3 linked regions of the Yarrowia lipolytica genome follow. The protein of the gene in region 1 purifies or fractionates together with the protein of each later gene. This does not show direct contact. Links are inferred from orthologs where the notes say so. Each region holds a gene or a part of one and is shown in the gene's direction. Other genes may lie near its edges. The genes, in order: YALI1_A18166g, YALI1_E25541g and YALI1_E31034g.

Region 1 (3,766 bases):
GTGGAAATCAGGGCCGCGTGCATGGAACATGGAACCGTGGGAGCAGTTTGTAGAGAATTGGTGGTGGGCTACATTGTGCGTGCGGCTGTGTTCCGGTAATTACTGCCATGGTATGTATGATATGATATGTACGAGTATTGACAGGAGAACCAAGGGGCAAAATGGAGGACAAAAAAAGAAGACAGGCGTTCCAAGGACGTACAACAAAGTTCTGGCACCGTTGCAAAGGTTTGAATGTTGCTTGGGTCCAGAATGTCTGCAGTAGCACCAAAACAGTTTTGGAGAACATAGAGCATTTTGATGAGACGCTAGACATTTTTCAAGTCCCTTTTTTTTTTTTTTTTTAAGAAAAGCCGAATTATCCAAAAAAAAAAATTCAAAGAAAAACAGAAAAAAAAAAAAAAAAAAAAAAGGGGGGGGGGGGGGGTTGAAGTAATACCCGGGTGGGGTAATACCTGGCTAATTCCCTCACATAATGATGAAGAAGTCCCACATAGTAATGAGAGGAATCCAGCTGGGTCGTAGGACGAGATCCATCCTGTAGATTTATCACTGAATCTAGAACTTTTTCTGGTGAATGAGCAAGCACACACCCTCCTGGGGGGGGGGGCGCGAGTTAGTACATCGTTGAACTCGATGAAGAGTGTTAATTTCGACATGAGATTTTCATTCGTTATTCGTCGCATCCAGATACATCGACCGGAAAATATATATACGTATTATGAGGGCTGAAGGTAGGGATTAATGCACTTTTTTATCATTTTTTATTTTTTTGTAGGTACAAATAACGGATGTACGTAAATACAAGTAATGTACGTAGATTCAAGTTCTGACAAATAAAAATATGGGGTGTCTAGCAGATCTACTCTGGTGAGAGTACGAGAACTCGCACGGTGAAGATAGAAGCAGAGACTGAAGCAGAAATATTGCCACCGAGACCGTCATATAATTCCGCAACCACCACGTGTCTCTTGCTTATCTCTGGTTACCTCTGGTATCTCATTGCTACCGTATTTGCAGCGGTTCAAGCCATGTCTCACCTGCTTACTATAAGTAGGGTTACTGGAGGTTGCTACGGTGCGATTCCAAGCAGTAGACCAATAGAGCGGGGGATAAGAGCCACTAGGCTATTGTGGCAGTTTGTATTACCCTACACACGTTTCCACGGTTGCCGATCACGTGATCCACACACACTTCAAATGTGCAGCTGGCCAATCAGCGGCGTCTTCTTGCTGCTTACGGCTCCTTCTGCCAGCCCTAATTTATTTCCCCTTTTGGAACCGACCAAACTGGAAGGGGTGCGGAAATAAGGTTGGGTAATTTTTCAAAGGGTGCAAAAATTTGGCACACCACGAACCACAGAACTACGGAACTCCAACATCATAATGCCGCCCAAGAACAAAAACGAAGTCAAGGACGGAGACAAGAACACGCGTATTGCTATTGTCAACGTGGACAAGTGCAAGCCCAAGAAGTGTCGACAGGAGTGCAAAAAGTCGTGTCCTGTGGTGCGAACCGGCAAGCTGTGTATCGAGGTGACGCCCGACTCCAAGATTGCCTTCATTTCCGAGACGCTGTGTATCGGATGTGGTATTTGCCCCAAAAAGTGCCCCTTTGGCGCGCTGCAGATTATCAACCTGCCCACAAACCTGGACTCTGAGGTCACCCATCGATACTCGGCCAACTCCTTCAAGCTGCATCGACTCCCCACTCCCCGACCAGGCCAGGTTCTTGGACTGGTGGGAACCAACGGTATCGGCAAGAGTACCGCGCTCAAGATTCTTGCAGGCAAGCAAAAGCCCAACCTGGGCCGGTACGAGGACCCTCCCACGTGGCAGGAGATTCTGACACATTTCCGAGGCTCCGAGCTGCAAAACTACTTTACTCGGGTGCTGGAAGACAACCTCAAGGCCATCATCAAGCCCCAGTACGTCGACAACCTGCCCCGAGCCATCAAGGGACCCCTGCAGAAGGTTGGCGAGCTGCTCAAGGCCAAGCTGGAGCGAAAGGACGACTTTGAGAACATTGTCAACACCCTGGAGCTCAAGGGTGTGTGGAAGCGAGAGGTGTCTCTGCTGTCCGGAGGAGAGCTGCAGCGATTCGCCATCGGTATGTCCTGTGTCCAGCTGGCCCAGGTCTACATGTTTGACGAGCCTTCCTCATACCTGGATGTCAAGCAGCGTCTGCATGCTGCTGCCATGATTCGGTCGCTCATCGACTCCACCGGTTATATTATTGTTGTCGAGCACGATCTGTCAGTGCTGGATTATCTGTCCGATTTCGTCTGCATTCTCTACGGTGTCCCCTCCGTCTACGGAGTGGTGACTCTGCCCTCGTCTGTGCGAGAAGGTATCAACATTTTCCTGGACGGTCACATCCCCACCGAAAACCTGCGGTTCCGAACCGAGTCTCTGCAGTTCCGACTCGCCGATGCCACTGAGATCACCCCCCTTGACCAGTCGCGATCTTTCAAGTACCCCACCATGAGCCGAACTCAGGGCGACTTCAAGCTTAACGTCGAGTCTGGAGAGTTCACTGACTCGGAAATCATTGTCATGATGGGCGAGAACGGTACCGGAAAGACCACACTTTGTCGACTTCTGGCCGGCGCCGTGGCTCCTGATGAGGGACAGAAGGCCCCCAAGCTCAACGTGTCCATGAAGCCCCAGAAGATTGCCCCCAAGTTCACTGGTACCGTGCGACAGCTCTTCCTCAAGAAGATCCGATCCTCCATGCATCACCCCCAGTTCCAGACCGATGTCTACAAGCCTCTGCGAATTGACGACATTATCGACCAGGAGGTCCAGAACCTGTCTGGTGGTGAGTTGCAGCGAGTCGCCATTGTGCTCGCTCTGGGTCAGCCCGCAGATATCTACCTTATCGATGAGCCTTCCGCTTACCTCGATTCCGAGCAGCGAATCATCTGTGCCAAGGTCATTCGACGGTTCATTCTGCATTCGAAGAAGACCGCCTTTATCGTTGAGCACGATTTCATCATGGCCACCTACCTGGCCGACCGAGTCATTGTCTTTGACGGACAGCCCTCCGTCGAGGCCTTTGCCCGACGACCCGAGTCTCTGCTTACCGGATGCAACCGGTTCCTCAAGTCTCTCAACGTCACCTTCCGACGAGACCCCACCTCGTTCCGACCCCGAATTAACAAGAAGGACTCGCAGATGGACAAGGAGCAGAAGGCTCACGGCAACTACTTTTTCCTCGACACTGCGGAGGCTTAAGCGAAAGATGGAAATCGAATGGAGGATTCAACAACGAAAATTGGCAACGAGTAGCAAAATAACTAGGATAGTTACAGGCATTCTAATAGATGTGCGGAATGAAAATGATTGGATAAGTGAGAGAGAGAGAGAATTAGTAGGGTTGAAACAATTACATAAAACCCCACAGAGGCTGTATTTGTATAGGCTGCGGTTATTTTTCGGCTGCAATTTTTTTCCCATTTTTTATACGAATTATTCCCATTTCCCATCCTGCATAAATTCAGATTATTCATTTCGCCTTACTAATAATATAAGGTTTGGAATCACCCTGGAACCAACCAACCACAACACAGATTTATCACCAAGTTAGACTACGCACCTCGAATACGAAAATGTCTGGTGAGTACGAAAACGCCAATAGGCGCTCATTGAGGAATGATCCGGATGCGAAAATGCGCGGAATCGCCGTTCCGTTGCTCCACAACGTCGCCGACGTGATTTTACCGCGCGCGAGACAGAAACTAACACAGAACATCAGCGACCCGAGC
Region 2 (2,088 bases), on another chromosome or scaffold:
ATCAACCAGAGACGCAATTGTGCCTCCGTGAAGGATTTGAAGCCGGTTGGTGTGCTCCTTGGCGACGGTGAGGCCGAGTCGGACCTTTCCGCGTTCAGCAGAGTCGATGGAAAGCTGTGTTAATGGCGGACAGAGGGGGTGGCGTGGAATTTGGCGGTTACCTGAGGGCCATTGAAGTACTGGCTGCAAATTCGGTGTGACTTCGGTATTATTGATATGGCTGGTACGCAACTGAAGTCATATTCCGTCTGTATTTTAAAGATAGCTCGAACATCTCATGTAGAGATTCGATGATCACAAACTTGGAACTAGGGAATGTGTCTGTAGACTATCTCTGAGTTACAATCAACCATAGCCCAGGGCCTCTTCCCCGAAAACTCACCGAACGTACCAGTACCATCTCTCACTCTCCCATACTCACCTGAGACAACAGCGTGGGCTCTAGGCCACTGAGCTGGAGGAAATCTCCCCATACCTGCGTTAGTAACGTGTAACAGGCCAATTGGGGCCTTTTGGGGTTCTATACTCACGGCTCGGACGTGTTTGAGAACCTGGGCGTGCGACATGTTGATGTGGGGAAGATGAGCATGCATGCATGAAGTGCAAGGGAGATTGGGTGCAGTGGAGCTACTGTACCTGTAGGTTGGAAGAGGTTGCTTGGTATATTTTATGGACGACATGTTAGAAGTGGCGGGGAGATGGAGTATGTTCTGGAATAATAGAGTCGAGACGATATGATAAAAGATTTCAGGCTTCTTGAGTGATGATATTTGAGCAAGATAGGTCCTTAATGTTGTTTCGTTCATTGTAGCAACCGATCAGTGGATAAGTCTAGTTGGGAGAGGTACAGTAGGGTGTTAAGAAAGCGTCACCGAAAGTGCGGTCCCACAAGTACCTACAACAGCAAAATCGAGAGCTGCTTTAGACTAGAATGAGAGACCTAGCTTGTGAGGTTGAAGTGGCCCACTGGTGAGATTGATGGATAAAAAAACCCATCCTATCGCCCTAGCAAACCTCCACTGTTACCTACATTCCTAACTACACTTTACTTACACTTTACTTAAAACTCTGGTCCTTAAAAGACCAGCCAAAAATTCCAAATAAACTCAACATGCATGCTGATTTGTAAGGGAGCCTGCACATAAAAATGGCATTGAACTGACATCTTTCTCTAAACAGAGCAACAACGACATGTCCGACATCTGGGATGACGAGGAAGTGAGAGAAACGCCCAGCGAGATCACACGAGTGAAGCGCGACCACTCACAGGCAGGCTACCTTGCTGGAGTCACAAAGGCCAAAGACGAAAGTCTGCAGGAGGGCTTCAACGCAGGATACCCCATTGGAGGCCAGCTGGGGCTCTCTATCGGGCGTATTTTCGGCTATTTGCAGGGAAAGGGTCTTGTTGAGGAGGAGAAGCAGGCCCGCAAAGAACTCAGCAGCACGAGGATCTTCGACAGACAGTATTGGACCACTGATGCTGCTCCTACATATGAGGGAGTGCATCCTCTGGTGAAGCAATGGGAGAACAAGATTGACGTCATGAAGCGGGAATAGAGGAGGTAGATGTTGCTGAGTATGCTTTGTGGAGTCTGGATGGTGTACAGTTACCAGTACTCTTACCTCAGTTAACTGAGAACGAGATCACGTCTTGGAACAGAGGACCCCACTACTGTCCACCCACGAGTACGGTGCGACTATTTAATGATTAATGATTGTATTTTAGAGATGCACTTCAAGTATATGATAATTTAGTAGAAGATCTGTATCAAAATCTCAAGCTCTGAGCTTTCTACCAGCCCCCTATCATTTTCGCCCCATATTCAGCTCTACTTAATTTTCTCAGTAAACTCAACTAAACATACTCGACGCCCCACGTCCAGCAAAGTTCAGACATGCATGAAATTTCAGCGTCTGAAGTTATCACCAAAACGAGCATTTTCTCCTGTCCAGCAAAACTGCCATGAGTAAACTGGAGGTGCTACAGCCCCACAGTGTCGGCAAGCGGATCGCTTCGATAGCCGTGAGTGGGACGTTGGCCCAGCAGCAGCGGCGGATAGAGGAGGGCACACAGCGTACACGGAACCA
Region 3 (2,017 bases), on another chromosome or scaffold:
AACTTGCCCTCCTCCAAGTCTTGCTTGAGATTGAACGATTCCATCTTGGGTGTGTATTTCTTTGCCCTGCTCAGATCCACATCCAGTCCGTCCATGTCGTCCTTTGTGTAGTAGTCAATATCCACTTCCGAGTCGGACTCCTCTTCTTCTAGAGGGGCCACAGTGGTGTGTGTACCGACATCGCCCTCAAACTTTTCCATATCCATGAACTGCGGTTTCTCGTCATCAAACTCCTCCTCCTCGGGCCTGTCGCCGTTATCCTTCTCTTTGTTCTCTTCGTCTTCGTCCTCACTGAACATGTCGCTGTCACTGTCGTTGTTTCCATGTCCATTTGCTCCCTTCACAGGCGCATCCTCATCGGAAGAGTCGTCATCGATGCCTCGAAGCCCCTTTTTCTGCGCCCGGACTCGTCCCCCAATATCCTCCTCCAGCAATTCATCGAGTTCGGTCGTTTCCTCAACCTCAGGCGCCAGCTGGAGCGGGTTATTGGTGTTAAAAGTAGACATGGTGATGAAGAAATCACAGCATGCATGTCGAATGTTTGTGCATAGTATAAAGGAGTATATAAGTCTACTAAATGTCCAATAACAAATCCAACTAGACTTAGTGATTGAAAATTAATGTATTATATTATTATACCTACAGGTTAACACAATCTCTGTGAAATACAGTACTTGTAGAACCTGCCAACAATTTGGACCACCTTTTTTCGAACACACATATCTCCTTAATCAAAGTTTTTTACTTGTAGTGGCAGTTCTCTTGCTCTGGCTAAGCAGTCGCATCCTACGTGCGATACGATACATGCAGCTCTTCATCTGCAGGTTAAATTCAATTATAAAGCATCAAATTTATTGTACTCACCATCTATCACACTCTCCGCCGCGGCTACAGAAATGCCAGCTATCCCTACAGAAATGAAGCAGCACGACGACATCTTCGAGGACTTGTTCCAGCTTGAAGAAAAGTGAGTCAGAGGTAACTGAAGGTGCTCAGACACCACCATCGGAAAACTTATCATGCTAACCACAGATTCTACGAAGAAGGATACAATGATGGACTACAGGCTGGTACAAAGGCTGGGTTTGCTGAAGGACGTGAGTTTGGAGTACAGACGGGATATCAGCGGTTTCTGGATCTCGGTTTGCTCCAGGGACGAGTCATAGTGTGGGAGGAACAGGTGGCTGATCTACCTGAAAGCAAACAGCAAAAGACAGTCGAGCGACTGCAACAGATCAAGCAGCTGATCCACCAGGAGGAGCCCACATATTTTTTATCCAACGATAGTGTGGTCGTTCATCAATACGAAACTATGATGAAGAAGGCCAAGGCCAAGGTGAGAACTTTGGCAGCCAGCATCGGTAGCGAAAAGGTGGTGTTTGAGGATCTGCTCAAGGGTTACACTGAAGAGGAGAATATCGAGGATAACTTCTAGAACGATATCTAGACGTATGGGAGTGGCGTGAGGAAGAAAACCTCAGCTAACCAGAGAAGGGAGATTACCAATTCAGCACCCAACCCTGACGGTTGCATCTCAGACAATGATAATGACACAGGTATGCAGATCGATCGCCTCAGGTTGTCTCATCTCGTTCTAAGGAGGTTAATGCAGTTCAAATAAGGGTGCTCTAGAGTCTTGCCACTCGATCTGCCTCAATTACCTGCTGAGTCGCTCAGACGAGCGAAGCTGCAATGAATATACGAAATTGATGAGTTATGAGTTATGACACATTATATTTAGAGCTGTATGTTGAATTCTAAGCAAATGCGAAGAGTCCCTTGACGGTAGACTTTCTCATGTGATCAATACTGAGTCCTTGTAGATAGGAAAAGTTCAAGCCTAAGCAATCTTTTGACTTCCTAAAGGACTTTAGAAGACACACATGGCGGTGTGTTGACCTACACCAGCACCCAGTAATCAGCATGTACTGTAGAACTGTAGCTACAGTATTTGTATGACAACTGCTTTTATTACCACCTACAACTGCAGTCATTTTTACCCCTAAACTGAAGAAGT

What was found.
Region 2: the proteins of YALI1_A18166g (region 1) and YALI1_E25541g purify together in Saccharomyces cerevisiae (affinity purification with mass spectrometry; 3 studies listed by BioGRID, with this or other methods). This does not show direct contact. The link is inferred for Yarrowia lipolytica from reciprocal best matches to the Saccharomyces cerevisiae genes RLI1 and YAE1.
Region 3: the proteins of YALI1_A18166g (region 1) and YALI1_E31034g purify together in Saccharomyces cerevisiae (affinity purification with mass spectrometry; 3 studies listed by BioGRID, with this or other methods). This does not show direct contact. The link is inferred for Yarrowia lipolytica from reciprocal best matches to the Saccharomyces cerevisiae genes RLI1 and LTO1.

The regions. Positions count from the first base shown.
Region 1 is NC_090770.1:1,815,199-1,818,964, forward strand, and holds YALI1_A18166g (uncharacterized protein), read left to right. Parts: upstream 1-1,385; coding exon 1,386-3,236; downstream 3,237-3,766. Other genes in the region: YALI1_A18188g (uncharacterized protein), read left to right, coding at 3,611-3,617, 3,749-3,766. UniProt on the Saccharomyces cerevisiae protein: Component of the multifactor complex (MFC) involved in translation initiation. Required for the binding of MFC to the 40S ribosome. Required for the processing and nuclear export of the 60S and 40S ribosomal subunits.
Region 2 is NC_090774.1:2,552,967-2,555,054, forward strand, and holds YALI1_E25541g (uncharacterized protein), read left to right. Parts: upstream 1-1,191; coding exon 1,192-1,557; downstream 1,558-2,088. Other genes in the region: YALI1_E25537g (uncharacterized protein), read right to left, coding at 309-806; YALI1_E25549g (uncharacterized protein), read left to right, coding at 1,964-2,088. UniProt on the Saccharomyces cerevisiae protein: The complex LTO1:YAE1 functions as a target specific adapter that recruits apo-RLI1 to the cytosolic iron-sulfur protein assembly (CIA) complex machinery.
Region 3 is NC_090774.1:3,102,577-3,104,593, forward strand, and holds YALI1_E31034g (uncharacterized protein), read left to right. Parts: upstream 1-896; coding exon 897-967; intron 968-1,032; coding exon 1,033-1,435; downstream 1,436-2,017. Other genes in the region: YALI1_E31031g (uncharacterized protein), read right to left, coding at 1-506. UniProt on the Saccharomyces cerevisiae protein: Essential for life in oxygen, but nonessential under anaerobic conditions. Required for biogenesis of the large ribosomal subunit and initiation of translation in oxygen.